Linked DNA regions of Diceros bicornis minor. The protein of the gene in region 1 binds, or shares a complex with, the protein of each later gene. Links are inferred from orthologs where the notes say so. Each region holds a gene or a part of one and is shown in the gene's direction. Other genes may lie near its edges. The genes, in order: SPAG5 and KNSTRN.

What was found.
Region 2: SPAG5 (region 1) and KNSTRN share a complex: the UniProt entries of both Homo sapiens proteins name them as parts of the astrin (SPAG5)-kinastrin (SKAP) complex. The link is inferred for Diceros bicornis minor from reciprocal best matches to the Homo sapiens genes SPAG5 and KNSTRN.

Annotation. Positions count from the first base shown.
Region 1 is NC_080757.1:18,899,097-18,907,326, forward strand, and holds the start of SPAG5 (sperm-associated antigen 5), read left to right. Parts: upstream 1-4,300; 5' UTR 4,301-4,362; coding exon 4,363-4,413; intron 4,414-4,663; coding exon 4,664-4,789; intron 4,790-8,230. UniProt on the Homo sapiens protein: Essential component of the mitotic spindle required for normal chromosome segregation and progression into anaphase. Required for chromosome alignment, normal timing of sister chromatid segregation, and maintenance of spindle pole architecture.
Region 2 is NC_080744.1:38,258,696-38,267,271, forward strand, and holds the start of KNSTRN (small kinetochore-associated protein), read left to right. Parts: upstream 1-4,921; coding exon 4,922-5,130; intron 5,131-5,311; coding exon 5,312-5,406; intron 5,407-8,516; coding exon 8,517-8,576. UniProt on the Homo sapiens protein: Essential component of the mitotic spindle required for faithful chromosome segregation and progression into anaphase.

The DNA of each region.
Region 1 (8,230 bases):
GGCAATAGATGTTAGCTTAGAGCCGGTCTTCCTCAGCAAAAAGAGGAGGATTAGCATGGATGTTAGCTCAGGGCTGATCTTCCTCACACACACACACAAAAAAGATATAAGTTAAAATGAGGTCATATGGGTGGGCCCTAATCCAGTATGATTGGTGTCCTTATAAAGGCACCCTTATAAAGACACCCACAGAGGGAAGACCATGTGAAGCTACAGGGAGAAGACAGTCTCTACAAGCCAAGGAGAGAGGCCTCAGAAGTAACCAACCCTGCTGACATGTTGATCTCGGACTTCTAGCCTTTTGTGAGTTGTGAGAAAATAAATTTCTGTTATTTAAGCCACCCAGTCTATGGTACTTTGTTATGGCAGCCCTCGCAAACTAATACAACCCCTATGAAGAGTTCTAATAGATTAATCAGGAATGATTATTTATTTACAAAAATGCATGCTATCTTCTTCCCTATAGGTTGGTTTTGCTTATATTCTGAGAACATGTAATTATTTTAGATTTCATTGGCCTCTCTATGAGTTTTGCTGGTTTACAGAGCTCCACTGATTAGCTGCTGTCACACTGCCTCCTTTGTTCAGTACTTCATCATACACAGTAGCAGGTCTAGTAATTCCAGTTTCATCCTTGAGTTCACTCAGCTGCCTGGTGGATACTTCTCAGAGTTGCTGATTTGGGTTATGTAATTTGATTTTCATAAAATAAGTAATCTCTAATCAGAAAATTTAAAAACTACAATTGCTTTTAAGTAGTTGGACCCCTACTTCATATCATATACAAAACTTAATTCCAGATACATTAAGGATTTAAATGTGATCATCAAAACATTAAATACCTTAGAAGAACATTTGGGAGACTAGACCTACAATCAAGGGATGGAGGAGATACCTAAACTAAGACAGAAAATGAAAGCACTATAAAAGAAAAAGAAAAACATTTACATAAAAATTTGATGAATGAATAACTCAATCAGATAAGATCCAAATGCTCTAAAACGAAAGATAAACATCTTGACTACATAAAAGTTTTATCTTTGTATGGCCAAAGATATCATTAATAAAGTCAACAGACAAAAAATAGATCTAAAAAATTCTGCAGTGTGATGACAGTTAATGTCTATAACACAGAACTCTTACAAATTAGAAAAGAGAAGTAACATTTTTTTAAAAAGGGCAAGGAATAAGAAATGACCAATCAATTAATTAGATCTATATCAGTTGACTTAGAAGACTCTATACTAGACAGTGAGGAAAAAAATGCAGAAGTGTAAGAAATAATGCCATTTTTGTAAAGGACTCAATACCTTCTTCCCCTCCCTTGTGTGTGTATGAGAGAGAGAGGGAGGGAGGGAAAGAGGGAGGGAGGGAGAGAATGCGCAAGAATGTGAAAAAGGGAACCTGGAAGGGAGAGAGGAGTAATGCAAGTGGAAAGAGAAGAGAAAAAAAGAAAGGCATGAGCCCTCAATCCCAGAGACCCCAGGCTGCACATCAGTTAATTTTTGGGAAAAACAAATATGTGTGTGTAAATGAAGACAAAACCTGTGTGAATGCATATATGTTTTTATAAAGGTATACACACTATTGGTTACCTCAGGCAGGTAGAATGAATGGGGGAGGCTGTGCCTTTAATACATCTTTGCATTGAATTGTTTCTCTTGCTATAACAAGCATCTATTATTTTTACAATTTGAAAAACACCAAATTAAAAAAATTATTATCCAAACAACACCAACAAACCAATTCTGTTTATGTTACCTATTTACAATGGTATTTTCCCTCTTATCTACCCCTCCATCTCTCTCCTAATTTGCTGGCATCTGACATACCAACTGCAACAAGGACTAAGCAGTCCAATTTACACATTTCTATAATACAAGCTAATACAATACTACTGGCACTTAAGAGTTTTCTGTCTTGGTTTTTGTGCCACTTGCTACCCTTGTTTTCTTTTTTTTTTTTTTTAAGATTTTATTTATTCATTTTTTTCCCCCCAAAGCCCCAGTAGATAGTTGTATGTCATAGGTTCACATACTTCTAGTTGCTGTACATGGGACTCGGCCTCGGGTTGGTCGGAGAAGTGGTGCCTTGGGGCGTGCCCGGGATCTGAACCCGGGCCGCCAGCATCAGAGCGCGCGCACTTAACCGCTAAGCCACGGAGCCGGCCCTACCCTTGTTTTCTTTGCTGGATCTTTTCGATTGGCCAGAAGTATACATACCTTGGGATTCCCTCTGCTGAGTCCTGGGCAATCCCAGACTCAAGTTTGTGCTCTTATGTTGTCTTTCTCCCAGTTTTCCATTCAGGCAACTGTTCTCTCTAGTGCCCTGAGGCTGGGACCTTTTTTTTTTTTTTTTTGTGAGGAAGACTGGCCCTGGGCTAACATCCGTGCCCATCTTCCTCCACTTTATATGGGACACCGCCACAGCATGGCTTGACAAGCGGTGCATCGGTGCGTGCCTGGGATCCAAACCTGGGAACCCCAGGCTGCCGCAGCGGAGTGCACGCACTTAACCACTTGTGCCACCGGGCCGGCCTGGACCATTGTTTTTAGAGCTGTGCTGTACAATAGAAATATAATGTAAACCTCATAAGTAATTTTAAATTTGCTAGTAGCCACATTAAAAAGGTAAAAAGAAATGGGTTAAATTAATTTTAATGTATTTTATTTAATCCAGTATATCTAAAATATCTTTCAACATGTAATCGATATTAATTTTTTTTTTTGCTGAGGAAGATTCACCCTGCACTAACATCTGTTGCCCATCTTCCTCTTTTTGCTGAGGAAGATTGGCCCTGAGCTAACATCCCTACCCATCGTCCTCCATTTTTATGTGGGACACTGCCACAGCATGGCTTGATGGGCAGTGCATCCCTCCATGCCTGGGATTTGAACCGTGAACTCAGGGCCACCAAGGTGGAGTGTGTGAACTTAACCACTACTCCACCAGGCCGGCCCCTCTTCCTCTGTGTTGTATGTGGGTGACTGTCACAGCATGGCTGATGAGTGATGTAGGTCCGCACCCCTGATCGGAACCAGGAATCCCTGGCGGTTGAAGCAAAGCATGCCAAACAACCACTACGCCAGGGGGCTGGCCCTAATCAATATTAAAAAATAAGATATTTTACTTTTTCCATACAAAGACTTTGAAATCTAGTTTACGTTTTACACCTATAATTCATCTCAATTGGGACTAGCCACATGTGGCCAGTGGCTGAGGTATTGGACAACACAGTTTCTAGAGGAGCCCATCCCCTGAGGGCCCTACAGTTCATAACAGATTACAGTTCCTCCTCTTGGGATTATTGCCTTTTCCAAACTCATTAAGACTTCAGAGTGTAAATAAGATGCTGAATGTTCAAAGGAACACATTTCATCATAAACTATAACTGTGAATACTTACCTTTAGGCTGTTTCCAAAAATCAATCAGTTTCCTCTTAAATAGCTAGATTTCCCATACAGAGGGGACTGAAGCGACAGTAGAATGCAGTAGTTCGTAGTGTGGGTTGGCATCTTGCCTCTGCCATTTACTCCCTGCGGGGCATTGGGCAAATTACATTATCTATGGTTCAGTTCCTTCGTCTGTAAAATGGGGATATTTATAGTACCTACTTCGTAGGTCCTTACGAGGATTAAAGGAGTTAATATCGATAAAGCATTTGGAACAGTGCCAGGTACCTAATAAATGTGCGATACCCGTTAGCTATTGTTCCAGTAAACTTGTTGCAGGCCCCAAGGTAAGTCCCAAGAACACGCTAAAAATTCTGAAGAGGCTAAATTACAGCGCAGGTTGAGAACTACGTCTCAGGCCCTCACCAACGCAGGACCTGTGCGCGAACCGACCAAGCCTAAGGAAAAAAGGCTACACTCACCTTTCCTTTCCGGACTACCCGGCCCGCTCTTTCTGGTCAAGGCTGCGGCGCGAGGTAACTAAGAGACACCGGAGAAGAGACTTCCTGAGGCCAGGCCACGAAGACCACTTTTCTGTCAGGGCGTGAGGGTGGTCTCCTGGAAGCAGGAGGGATGGATTCCATGACTCTCCTGCTGCTTGGGTACCGTCCCCGAAGTGAGGCCATAAGACTGGCCTCGGGCTTGCGGCACGTCGCCCCTCCTGCCCGTGTCTTTGGTACGGGATCCGCAGAGACCGCGCGCGAACCGCGGTCCGGGGCGGGGGCGTGGCCAATGCAGGCCCCGCCCCCTCACCCGCCGTGTTCGAGCCCGGAGCAAACACGCTAGGCCGACGCACTGAGGCTCCGCAGCCAATCGGGAAGCGCGGAGCAGGTTCAAATTCAGACGGCGGGTGAACATGGCGTCACCCCTTGGGTCTGGGAGGAGATCGGGCTGCGTTTTGTGTTGAAGATGAGGCGGGTGAAAACACTGAACGTTAGCCTGTCGCCTTCGCCTCAGCCGGTGAGTGGGAGAGCCTCATGGAGAGAGAGCTGGGCCGAGGCTTCCGGGGCGGGGGCGCTGGCAGTGCCGAGTGTGCTGGAAAGCTGGGTCGAGCCTGGGGGCGGGGGCGTGTGGAGTCTTTTGTTGGTCCAGACGCTTCAGCGCGACTGGCGTCGAAGCCTACTCTTCTTAGTGCCCTATGGGCTTCTTAGGGAGGGAGGAAGGGCGGGCTGGCAGAGCCAGGCTTTCTTACACTCTCTTTCTTTCTCAGGGAAAACCAGCTGTGAGAACTCCCCTCCGAGAACTTACCCTGCAGCCCGATGCCCTCACCAACTCTGGAAAAGGGGCCCCGATATGCTGCTCGCTGACTCCATCACTGTGCAAACTGGGGCTGCAGGTGAGATTCGACTGCCCAGCTTCTCGACTGGGCTCTTTGCCGAGGCCAAGAGCTCAGAGGAATAGAGGACCCGGGCTGGAACGTAATTAATAACAATAATGAAGTCTTCTACCTCAGTGACATCCATTTACAGCTATTCAGGCCAACAGAGAGGTGCCCTAGGGTGGTTAAAGGAAATCCGCTGAGAACCCAGACCTCTATTTAGATGTTAGTTTTTATCACCTCCTCCCCCATTCAGTCTTTACTGAACTACTGAGAAATACTATCACTTTGATTAGGGGTCTCCCTCTAATATGGGCTCACTTATGGAGAGGTCAGTCAGCTGCAAGAGTGAGGCAATGTCCATCCATTCCAAGAGAGAGTCAAAACTCTCCTGGGATCAAGTTACACCACTGGAAGGCAGAGCACTTGGACCATCTTTGTTTATTTTTATTTATTTATTTTTTAAGTTTATTTTTATTTATTATTTTTTTGTGTGAGGAAGATCGGCCCTGAGCTAACATCTGCCAATCCTCCTCTTTTTGCTGAGGAAGAGTGGCCCTGGGCTAACATCCGTGCCCATCTTCCTCCACTTTATATGGGATGCCGCCACAGCATGGCCTGACAAGTGGTGCGTTGGTGTGTGCCCAGGATCGGAACCGGCGAACCCTGGGCCGCTGCAGCAGAGCATGCGCACTTAACCGCTTGCGCCACCTGGCCGGCCCGGACCATCTTTGTTTAAACTAGCCCCTTGTAGAATTGCCCTCACTGAATTGTACTTTTGTCAAAGGTCTTGAGAGAAGTTGCCATGTAGAAACTGCTTTTCACTTGCTGTAAAACTTGTCAAGGAAGGCGAGTGACCCCTCTATAAGGTTCCTCGAAGAAATTTCCTTTAGGGGCGGGCCAGTGGCGTAGTGGTTAAGTTTGCACACTCCACTTCTGTGGCCCAGGGTTCGCTGCCCGGATCCCTGGTGAGGACCTACACACCACACATCAAGCCATGCTATGGCGGCGTCCCATATACAAAATAGAGGAAGATTGGCACAGATATTAGCTCAGCGACAATCTGCCACAAGCAAAAAGAAGAAGATTAGCTACAGATGTTAGCTCAGGGCCAATCTTCCTTACCCCCCCAAAAAAAAAAATTTAAAAAAGAAATTTCCTTTAGAACTTACTGCCTGGGAAAATTCTGAAGAAATTGCTTTGTTTTTCTCTTTCTGATAGTGACAACTATGTAGTTTACTACATTTTACATTTTCCCTCTTGAACTGGCTTCTAGAAAGCTCAGGGTCAAATTTGATCATCAGGTATAACTACTGCTACTCCCTGAAATAGGAAGATTTTCTTCCTTTTTCTTTTTCTTTTTGTATTTCTTTAACCTGATGTATCCATCTATCTGTTCTTTTTCATGCAGTCTGAATTATTTTTGGAAGGAGAGGGGACATAAATAAAATAGGTTAGAGGAAGAAAGAATAAAAGCACATGGCAGCCTGAGTAACAGATGTATGAGAGTAGCAGTCTTTCTGTTTTTTTTACTGTGAGGAAGATCAGCCCTGAGCTAACATCCATGCCAATCCTCCTCTTTTTGCTGAGGAAGACTGGCCCTGGGCTAACATCTGTGCCCATCTTCCTCCACTTTATATGGGAGGCCGCCACAGCATGGCCTGACAAGTAGTGCATTGGTGCACCCCTGGGATCTGAACCCGGGCCGCCAGCAGCAGAGCGCGTGCACTTAACCGCTATGCCACAGGGCCAGCCCTGGAGCAGTCTTTCTTGAAAGAGCTCTAACACCAACTGTCCAATAGAACTTTCTGGGATGATGGAAATGTTTGATAATCTGTGCTGTCCAATATGGTAGCTATTAGTTAACATGGCTACTCAGCACTTGAAAGGTGGCTAATGTGACTGAGGTACTAAATTTTAAGTTTTATTTAATTTTAATTTAGATAGCCAAAAGTGGCTAGTGGCAACTATATTAGTACAGCTTAGGTAGAAAAGAAGTAAGTACTAAGTGGGAACTGATCTTCATAGAGCCTATAGAATTTAACCACAGCCATTTAATCACAGTAGCAAAATAGACTTCAATTTAGGTCTCCCTACTCTTAACTGGAGGGCTTGTTACCTCCTGATATAGTCGGCAATATAGACGAAGTTTTTTCCCCCCAAAAAATAACTTTTTTTTTTACTTTTTAAAACGTGATTATTTTTATCTTAGATGTTCATTGTTTGAAATATTTGAACGATGTGTAAATATAAGGATGAAAATGTTTCTGCCATTTTAGATAACTATCATATTTGAAAATCCTTTCTTGCATCTCTTTATGTGTATCTATCTGTGTGTATATGTTTATATACACACATATCCATAGATTATCATATTACTTTTTTATCAGGTCAATTTTTTTTCCCTTTTCTCTCTCCTCTCTTTCCCTTTTTTTTTGGCTTAGCTCCACTTTTCCTCTCTCTTTTGCCCCTCCTCTGGAATTAATCCCTCCCACACGTGCCCTGCTCTTCCCAAGAAACCAATCCATTTTAACATCCTAATGTGTATACTTCCATATTTTTCTCTGTGTTCTTTTAATAATATGCAAACATGCATAATTATTTTACTGATAGGATCACAATATACAGTCAGTTCTCATTATTTGTAGTACATATGTTCTATAAAGTCTCTGTGAACACTTACTTAGCAAATACTGAACTGCTGCTCATAGGGGAAATACAGGATTATATTCCTGCAAGCTTCTGATCAAACATTTTCATTAACCAATCAATACATGGTCTTATTTTATGTGTATATTCCTGTTTAAAAACACCTTATTTTTATATATATTGTTGATTCATTAACATTGAACTTAATCAACAATGTTCATGCTTGAATGAAGTTTATCTAGCTCACATAAGACACATCACAGCTTTCTTGCACTTGGGAACACTAGCCAGCACTTCAGCACTACATTTGGGGGCCATTTGAAACAGCGAAGTCACCAGCAAAAAGCACAAAAATGTGAAAACCGTGGCACTAAATAGATCGTGAAAAAGCCATTTGTTTAGGATATGAGAGCTAAAACAAGAAGGCAAAATGTCACCTTGTTCAACCTTGGCTAGGAACATGTGTTTCAGGGGATTCATATTTTTTGCAGCTCTGCACGTCTGCAAATGACCAGAAAAGTGGTCTTAAATCTTAGTGAGTAGGCAAATTTGCAAATACTGAATCCACAATTAATGGGGATCGACTGTATACATTTCTCTGTATGTTGCTTTTTTCATTTAACAATGTGGTGCAAATCCCTCCATGTTAACTGGTGTAGAACTAATTCATAAGATAATGTGGTATGAATGATCATAATTTCTTCATAAATGGTCATTTATTTTGCCTTTTCTTTTTGCTTCTACAAACAATGCTAACATAAATATCTTTGTACATATATTAGGTACTGATACTTTTATTTCAACGAGATA
Region 2 (8,576 bases), on another chromosome or scaffold:
AGCCACTATGTGCTATGTAAATGGGTGGTGATCCAAAGCCACCCTGTGCTGAAGAGCACTAGAAGGACCTTGATAAACTTATTATCAGGCCTCTGTGTGCGTATTCATGTTATACTTCAACACAGGGAAAAGATCAGCATCTTAGCAAATTCACAGACATCAAACAAGAGCTTCAGTATTGCTGAAGAAACTCACACACTGGGCAGATTGATGTAGATCTGAATTCATGACCACCAACTCAACTGGACCTCAGCCCTGCCTAGCTAGTTTCTGTTCTAGTTACTGCTTTCCATTCTTTGTAATGACCATTTTACACTCTCTCTACCTTCCTCAAACATCTGATGCCCTCCACCTCCCTGCACCCCAGTTTCAGTAGACAAAAAATTCATTCTTCATAAAGAAAACTGGAGGCGTCAGATAGACATTTCCTCACTTTCAAGGCATCAAGTCCCTAACTTACCTATCTCTGCTCCTGCCTGCTTCTCTCCCCATCCCTTCTATTAAAATGAAGGAAGCAGTAATGGCTCCATCAATGGCTTCACACACTTTGCATCAGAGGCTTTCAAACTAGGGCTTGCATTCCCACAGGAACATGAACACTTTCTAGAAGGTAGGTGGATACAGATAATTTTAAGGGAATCAATTTCCAGAGCTTCCTCCTTCATATGGTCCATCTCCTCGTATTGATCAGCCTAAGAAGGAGCCTTAGGTCAGCCAGTTCTCCTTCCTGACCTCCACTTTCCCAGTTGACCCCCTCCTTCATTCTGAATCCTATTCTGGCGCCTCACTCTGCAGTATAAAAAAACAATAAAAGAACTACTTGAGAATGCTCTGCTTGAGGAAGTCCTTGAGACAGCAAAGCCTAGAGAGCTTTTATGAGAAGTTGCAAAGGGGCAGCCCTGTAGCTCAGTTCTGTGCCTTTTCCATTTAAGAATTCAAATTCAAAAGTAAGAGGTTGATACAGGATAATAACCTGTATAATAACCACACTTATTTGAATTGAAAAACAAAATCATACTTTTTCTGATGGAAAGTCAATCTGATTTGGCTGATGGGTTTGACAGGACTAGCTTTGCAAATAGGATATATGGTGGACATTTTCCCAGAATGGAATAATTTAAATCTGCGGCTCCATGGTTTGAAGAAAAATACATTTATTTTATTTTATTATTTTTTCCCCCAAAGCCCCATTAGATAGTCGTATGTCATAGTTGCACAGCCTTCTAGTTGCTGTATGTGGGACGCGGCCTCAGCATGGCCAGAGAAGCGATGCCTCAGTGCAAACCTGGGATCCGAACCCGGGCCGCCAGCAGTGGAGCGCGTGCTCTTAACTGCTAAGCCATGGGGCCGGCCTGAAAAATACATTTAATATACACATACAACTTCCCCTTCCAGCCAAGATGGAGTAGTAGGAACGAGATTTATCTTCTTTCCTGAAACAACCAACCCAACAGAAAAAAATATATGAGACAACAGTTTTCAACACTGGACATCAGACAACAAAGGACGGTGATCTCTTCTGGACAAGAAACAAATGAGATGAGCCTTGTGACAGCCCCAGCTTACTGCTTGAGAGAGTTTCTAGGACATACTACAGGGAGGCAGAACCCAGGCAGGGCCATGCAGACTCCCCGAGCTGAGGAGATAGCTCAGAGTCTGGGGCAACCAAGGTAGCTAGAGTGGTCAGGACAGAATACTGACTGAGAGGAGAAAGGTGCACAGAGAGAGAATTCTAGAGATCTGCAAATGGCCCCCCTGGAGTATTCAGCAGAGCACTGCTCAGCATATAAGTGTGAGGAAACTACTTGAGACCAAGGAAGGAACTACCCAAAATGACTAGAGGGAACAGTAGCCAGTAGTCACCTAGGGCTGGAACAGTGCCAGTTCCCATCAGCCACACTGGAGAACCTGATAATTTATGGAGCATTGGTTAGAGTTCTCAGAAGGAGCTTGCCTCTGTAGTGGGAACTCATTAGCCCTAGTTTAAACACTGCTGGCTCCCACGTAACAAATCTCAAAAGCAAGACCTGAAAAGATGAAACTGTTCCTAAGTATTGTAACTGCATCCCAGAACAAACCTCAAGAACATTTACAGGAATGCAAAAATAACCAGCGCCCAAAAATGTAAAAAATTCACAATGTCTGGGGTCTAATAAAAAAATTACCTGTCATGCAAAGAAGCAGAAAAATATGACCCATAGTGAGGAGGAAAATCAATTGACACCAACCCAGAACTGATACCTATGTGAGAATTAGCAAGCAAGGACATCAAAACAGTTATCATAATTGTATTCCATATGTTCACATAGCTAAGTAGAGACTTGGAAGATATAAAAAAAAAAAAACAAAATTGAACTTGTGAATGAAAACTAAAATGTCTGAGATGAAAAATCACTGGATGGAATTAACAACAGTTTAGACACTACAGAAAAAAAAGATTAGTGAACTTGAACTTGAGCTAGCAATAGAAATTATCCAAAATGAAACACTAAAAGAAAAAAGAATTTTAGAAACAAAGAGCATGAACAACATATAATAGGTAGAAGGTATGTCCTTTACAAATATTTAAAATTGAAAAAATTTAGGGGGCCGGCCCCGTGGCTTAGCGGTTAAGTGCGCACGCTCCGCTACTGGTGGCCCGGGGTTCGGATCCCGGGCGTGCACCAAGGCACCGCTTCTCCGGCCATGCTGAGGTGGCGTCCCACATACAGCAACTAGAAGGATGTGCAACGATGACATACAAGTATCTACTGGGGCTTTGGGGAAAAAGAAAAAATTTAGGCATCAACTAAAAATAGGTAAGATGATTGTTTTTTTAAGTTATTTTGTGGAGGTACATGAATAAGAGTTTGAAGTTGCTGCTCTAGATCCCGTCTTCCTTTCTCCTTTCTCTATGACTTTGCTCCTGTGATCATCCCATCTCCCCATGAAATATCCTTTTCTTCCTCTCAGCATATGTACCAACTAGTATCTGCATCTTCAAGAAAACCCTTCTTTGACTGCCACAACCCACCTCCAGTTACCACCCAACTACTCTACTCCATTCACAAACTCTGTCTTCACTTGCCATCTCTGCTGCCTCATCTCTCCTGTACTCTGTGACCTGTACTACCGTGATTCCACTCAAACCTCTCCACCAGAATTCCTCTTCCTGTACTCACCAATGACTTCTTTGTTGTTAAATTAAATAGATCCTTTATAGTTCTGATCTTGCTTGCCCTTTCAGTTATTTTCAATAGTTTACCACTCCCTCCTTCAGCAGTTTACGACTTCCTCCTTCTTAGCTTCTAGGATACCACCCATTTTTTTTTCTTCTCACCTCTCTGGCACCTCTTTATCAGGTTTCTTGGCTGGCACCTTCTTATCATTGCAGCTTCTACATGCTGCTCTCCCTGTCCTTGGCCCTAAGGCTCTCTGTACACTTCTTCCTTTGATGATCTCATTCAATATCGCAGCTTTAAATACATCCATATACTCATGACTCCCAAGAGAATATCTCCCACCTAGACTCACCTCTGGGCTCAAAGACTATATTTCCAGCTGCCTACTTGACAGCTCCACTTGAATATCTCAGAGGCATTTCAAGCTTACCATGTTCAAAACTGAACTCTCAATCTCCCCCCAAGACAAAATAGTGACTCTATCCACACAATTATTCAAGCCTGGGAGTCGTCCTTAAGATCACCCTCTCCCTTACCCCTTTACCCCCCACATCCAATCTAGCACTGGGTCCTGAGATTCTACCTCCAAAAGCTGTCTTAAATTTGTCTGCTTCTCTACATCTCCACTACTACCATCATGGCCAAACCACCATCATCTTTCACTTGAATGGTTACAGTGACCTCCCAACTGTCTCCCTTGTGCCACTCTTGCCCCCCTTCAATCCATTCTCCATGGAGTAGCCAGAGTGAGATTTTTAAAATATAAATTGAATAACACTGTCCTGCTCTAATACTTCAGTGACTTCCCATTACTCTTAAGATAAAATCTAATCTCTTTACTTTTGGCCTACAAAGGCTGCCATTTGATTTCTTCCAACTTTATCTAGACCACTCCTCCCATCTTTCAGTCCCTTCTAGGAAAAAAGCCCATTCCTACCTTGGGACTTTGCATTTCTCCCCCCTCCCCCATTGTTCATCCGATTAACTTCCACTCGTTCTTCATTAATCAATCATCATCTCAGATGTCTTCCCTGACTCCCCAATTTAAATTAGGTTTCCCTGCTTTTCTCTCTCACAGCACATTGTAGTTTTCCTTCAGAGTTTTACTACTGTTGGTAGATACATATTTATTCGGGATTTTTTCCCAGCTTAACTGAGATGTAATTGACAAGTTCGTGTGATTATTTTCCTAGACTGTAAATTCCAGGAGGGCAGACCCAAGGTCAGTCTTGATATTTGCTGCCTCGCCCACCATAAGCCCTCTTCGAGTAGTGCTCAATAGGTGCTCAATAAATATTTGCTGAGTGAAATGAATGAGTGCATTAAGTGCTTGAGAACTCTGCACTGCTGAGAACTCTGTTCGCTAGGAGTAGCTTTGAATCTCTGCTTAAAATCTAGATAAGAGTTATTAAAGTCAGGACTGCAGGTAGGTACCTCAGGTATTTCCGCCCACAGGCCCTCTTCAAACCCCACCTGCCACTCTCCACCCTGTAACATGTAGTTTCCTCCATCCAAATACCCTATGCTCCTGGAAATCAGGCATCATGCAATGTACCTAACAATCACAGACCAAATAAAGAGAAGGATTGTGACATGGATCTAAACGTGACCACGAGTGCGTCCCAAGCCCGAAATATGACGCCGGGGGCTCATAGCTCCATTCAGGCCGGCAAAGTGCACAACTCCCCTCCCCCGCCCAAAGCTGGGGGCTCGGACACCCATCGTCAAGAAGCTCCGGCTCGCTCGGCTGCTCGTACAGCATGGCAGCCCCCAAAGGCGTGGCCCACGGCAGTGCCTGCAGTACAAGATGGCCGCCTACAGGGTACGCACCGCACCCCCTTCCGCCCGGCCACCGGAAGTTTCTATTTGAAACCCAGGCGGCAGACCCGGCCGGCGGAGCGGCAGTTGCTGCAGAGCATCTTCCGAACCAGAGCGACGAGGGCTGCAGGCAGGAGCAGCAGGCGCCTGGGTTCGGCTCTCCCGGGGCGAGGGACTGAGCTGGGTGTGGGGGTCGGACGAGGTGGGCTGGGAATGGAGGATTTTCTCTCTCTCTCGAGTCCTCCCCGGAGTCGGGGCGCGCTCTCCCTGGGCCCTCCACCTGCCCGGACCCCTTGGCCCACCCTGGGTAACATTCACCTTGCACCTTCCAGGGCCCAGCCGTGCCGCCTCGTTACGATGACCAGCGTGGTTAAGACAGTGTACACCCTGCAGCCCCCCTCTGTGCTGAGCGGCGGCCTGCCGGCAGGTGGGTATCCACGCCGCCCTCCTCGGGCACTGGGGACCAGCCTGGGGCGGTCAGGCCGGGAATGGGGGGCGCGGGCAGAGGGAGGGCATTTCATCGGCTCTGACAACCCTCTAACTCCCCTAGAAGCGGGCTGTCTAGGTGTACGATGGGAGTTAGGGGAAGGGCCATGTGGTAGGATTTTAGACCTGCCCTGCACCCCTCCTCCCCCAAACCTAACCGTGCTGGATTCACCAATTAGATTTCGCTTGCTGATTCTTCTACAGTATTATTCCCATTAAGCTAGGAATCCCTTTTTAAACAGTTACCCCTTTTATTTCAAGACTTGGGCTATCTGGAGGGACTGGGTTTGTTGTCAGGGAGAAGAGAGGAGAGTCATTTGAGAAGGGGATACTAAGGGGGAAGCGCTAGGCTTCACACTGTGTGGTTCACATTTGATATGCACAGTGTCTCTTCTATAGTACATTCTCAGTAAATGTTGGTAGAGTGAAGTGAGAGAGAGGGGTCAGGCCTAGCTAGAGTATTCCAGAACCTTGGGAGAAGAGACATGATTAAAAAACATTTTTGATGGCTTTGCCATCTTGCTTTGTGTTACTTGGCTTGTGGTTGAAAGTCATCTCTTAGGGCCTTCAGTTGTGGAGCTGCCTAATCTAGAGATTATAGCACAGAATAAACTTCAAACATCAGAGCCTGTTGTGGGAGATTTTGAAGCAGCTATATAAGATCCCTTCCCAGGTGACTCCACGCAGCTGGTTGATGAGCAGGAGCAGGATTGGTCTGTAAAGTAAATAGACTTTTCTCCGAAGCCTTCAGGGGTTGTTCTGTTTGTCTTCTGTTGCCTCAGAGAACACCTGAATGGTAATCCTGGCCTCCAAGTTGCTGGGGGAATTGCATCCATGTCTCCTTCCACTGCCTTTCCCTCCGAGAGCAGTGCCCCTCTGTCAGGGGGGTATGACTGATGACTGGCTCTCCCCAGCCAAGTCGGAAGTTTTCGTCTCTTTGCTCTCTATCCCTGTCTTAGAGTTATGATAATATGTAACCTCAGTGGTTTGACATTCTTAGGCTGTATCCCAGGTTTTTTATTTTGATTTTGAGCATGGGTTAGTTGTTTTTAAGTTTTAGTTTTTTGACTAACATATGCACATTTAAAAAAAAATCCAAAGTTAGAAAATGATATGCAGGGAAAAACAAGTCTCCTGCCTTCCTTGACACCAGGCATCCAATTCCCCTCCCTAGGGTCTCTTTTTTTTTTCTTTTGGTGAGGAAGACTGGCCCTAAGCTAACATCTGTGCCAGTCTTCCTCTGTTTTGTATGTGGGATGTGGCCACAGCATAGGTTGATGAGCAGTGTGTAGATCTGCGCCTGGGATCCTGGCCCCGCGAACCCTGTGCTGCCAAAGCAAAGCGTGCGAACTTAACCACTACACCACTGGGCTGGCCCCTGCATTTCTCATTTTAAGAAGACGGGGCCAGCCCTGTGGCTTAGTGGTTAAGTTCCCATCCTCCGCTTCGGCAGCCCGGGGTTCGCCGGTTCGGGTCCCAGGCATGGACCTACGCACCACTTATCAAGCCGTGCTGTGGCGGCCTCCCACATAAAGTAAACGAAGAACGAGGATGGGCACTGATGTGAGCTCAGGGCCACTCTTCCTCAGCAAAAACAGGGGGATTGGCAGTGGATGTTAGCTCAGGGCTAATCTTCCTCACAAACACATGCAAAAAAAAAGACAGTGTTTGTTAAATTCTGCTAAATTTTTCCTACAATGCAGTCTTTAAGTTCTAGCAAATATGGATTATTGGAACCAACTTCGATCAATGAAGAGTGTTAATTTTGATCAATTTTCTATTAACTCCTTTTTACATGGGGTAGATTTGTTATTGTGTATAACTTATTAATACTTGAGAGAGGAGAAGGTACATGCATTCCCCTAAGGTTACCTTTTGCTTCAGACAGAGACCTCAAAAAGAACCCTTTTAATATTTGCTTTGTGGGTAAGAGTATGGAAAATAGGGAGCAAGTGCCTGGTGAGTATACCTATAAATGAAATAATTTGTTAGCCTGAGAAATCATATTTATTCCAAACTGTCATGCAGCTAGAGTCATCAAAATTAAATCTTTATCAAATACAAAATTTCCTAATCCCTGTGATCCAGTGCTTTGGACCTCATTTCTTCAACCTGATTTAATTGTTAGGGCTTAATTGTGTGGCTCTTAGGTCAAGCTTAAACAAGCCATTTTACAATGAACAAGGTGAAAGCATCAACTAGAAAAGCGCATGGGTGTGGTGTGGTATGTGTAGTGGAGGGCTGGTGTAAGGGCTAGAGGGAAAATGCTCACCTCTGAGGAAGAGGAGTTTCATGGCAGGGCCATTTCTCTGGTTATCTGGCAATAGCCTAGCAGGAAGATCAGAACAGAGTGCCAAATAGGGAACCTTGAATAAACAAATTAAAAGGGCTGGTGGAAAGGTGATCAGCATGGAAAGGGGTAAGAAGACTAGAAGAGCTAGTTTAGAGATGGTCTGTGAAATAATCCATGGAGGTGTGTAGTGTTCCATATATTCAACAAGCAGTTTTGAACCTCTGTTAATATGCCAGGTACTCTACTAGGCACTGGGGACACAAAGACGTCTCTTAGAGGAGTTAGGGAGACAGTCTGGTCAAAACAACTAAGCAGCAGTTAAAAGAGAGACTCAAGCAGCTTGAGCGTAGCCTTAGGAGAGCGTGCAGAGTGCTTAGCATAGCAAGGTGGTTCCATTCCACTGGTGTTTGATGAAGGGTTCAGCTCTGTTTTGCCTTGCTGATGACCACACTGCTTTTTTTAGCTCTTTGCTTGTATCAATCTCCACTTTCACGTCTGTACCCTCTGGCCATTCAGTCTGATGTGTCATCAAGCTTTTGGCTACCTTCAAACACACTGCACTGTCACATTTAAAGAATTTGTGTTTCTATCTCCAATTAGCATAGAAGTCTTATTCTTCTGACTTAATCTTCACAAATTGAGATTGGCCAGAGTGAAAATACAGGTTTCTGACAACCTGGAATGGAGCTTTGTTTGTTACAGAGTTGCAGCTGTTGCGTCCTGATGCTTGAGGTTTCACTTCTTGTTTTCCTTTGCAGACATACAAACTCGAGCCACTTCTAAGAGCTTATTACCTGTTAAGTCCAAGGAAGTTGATG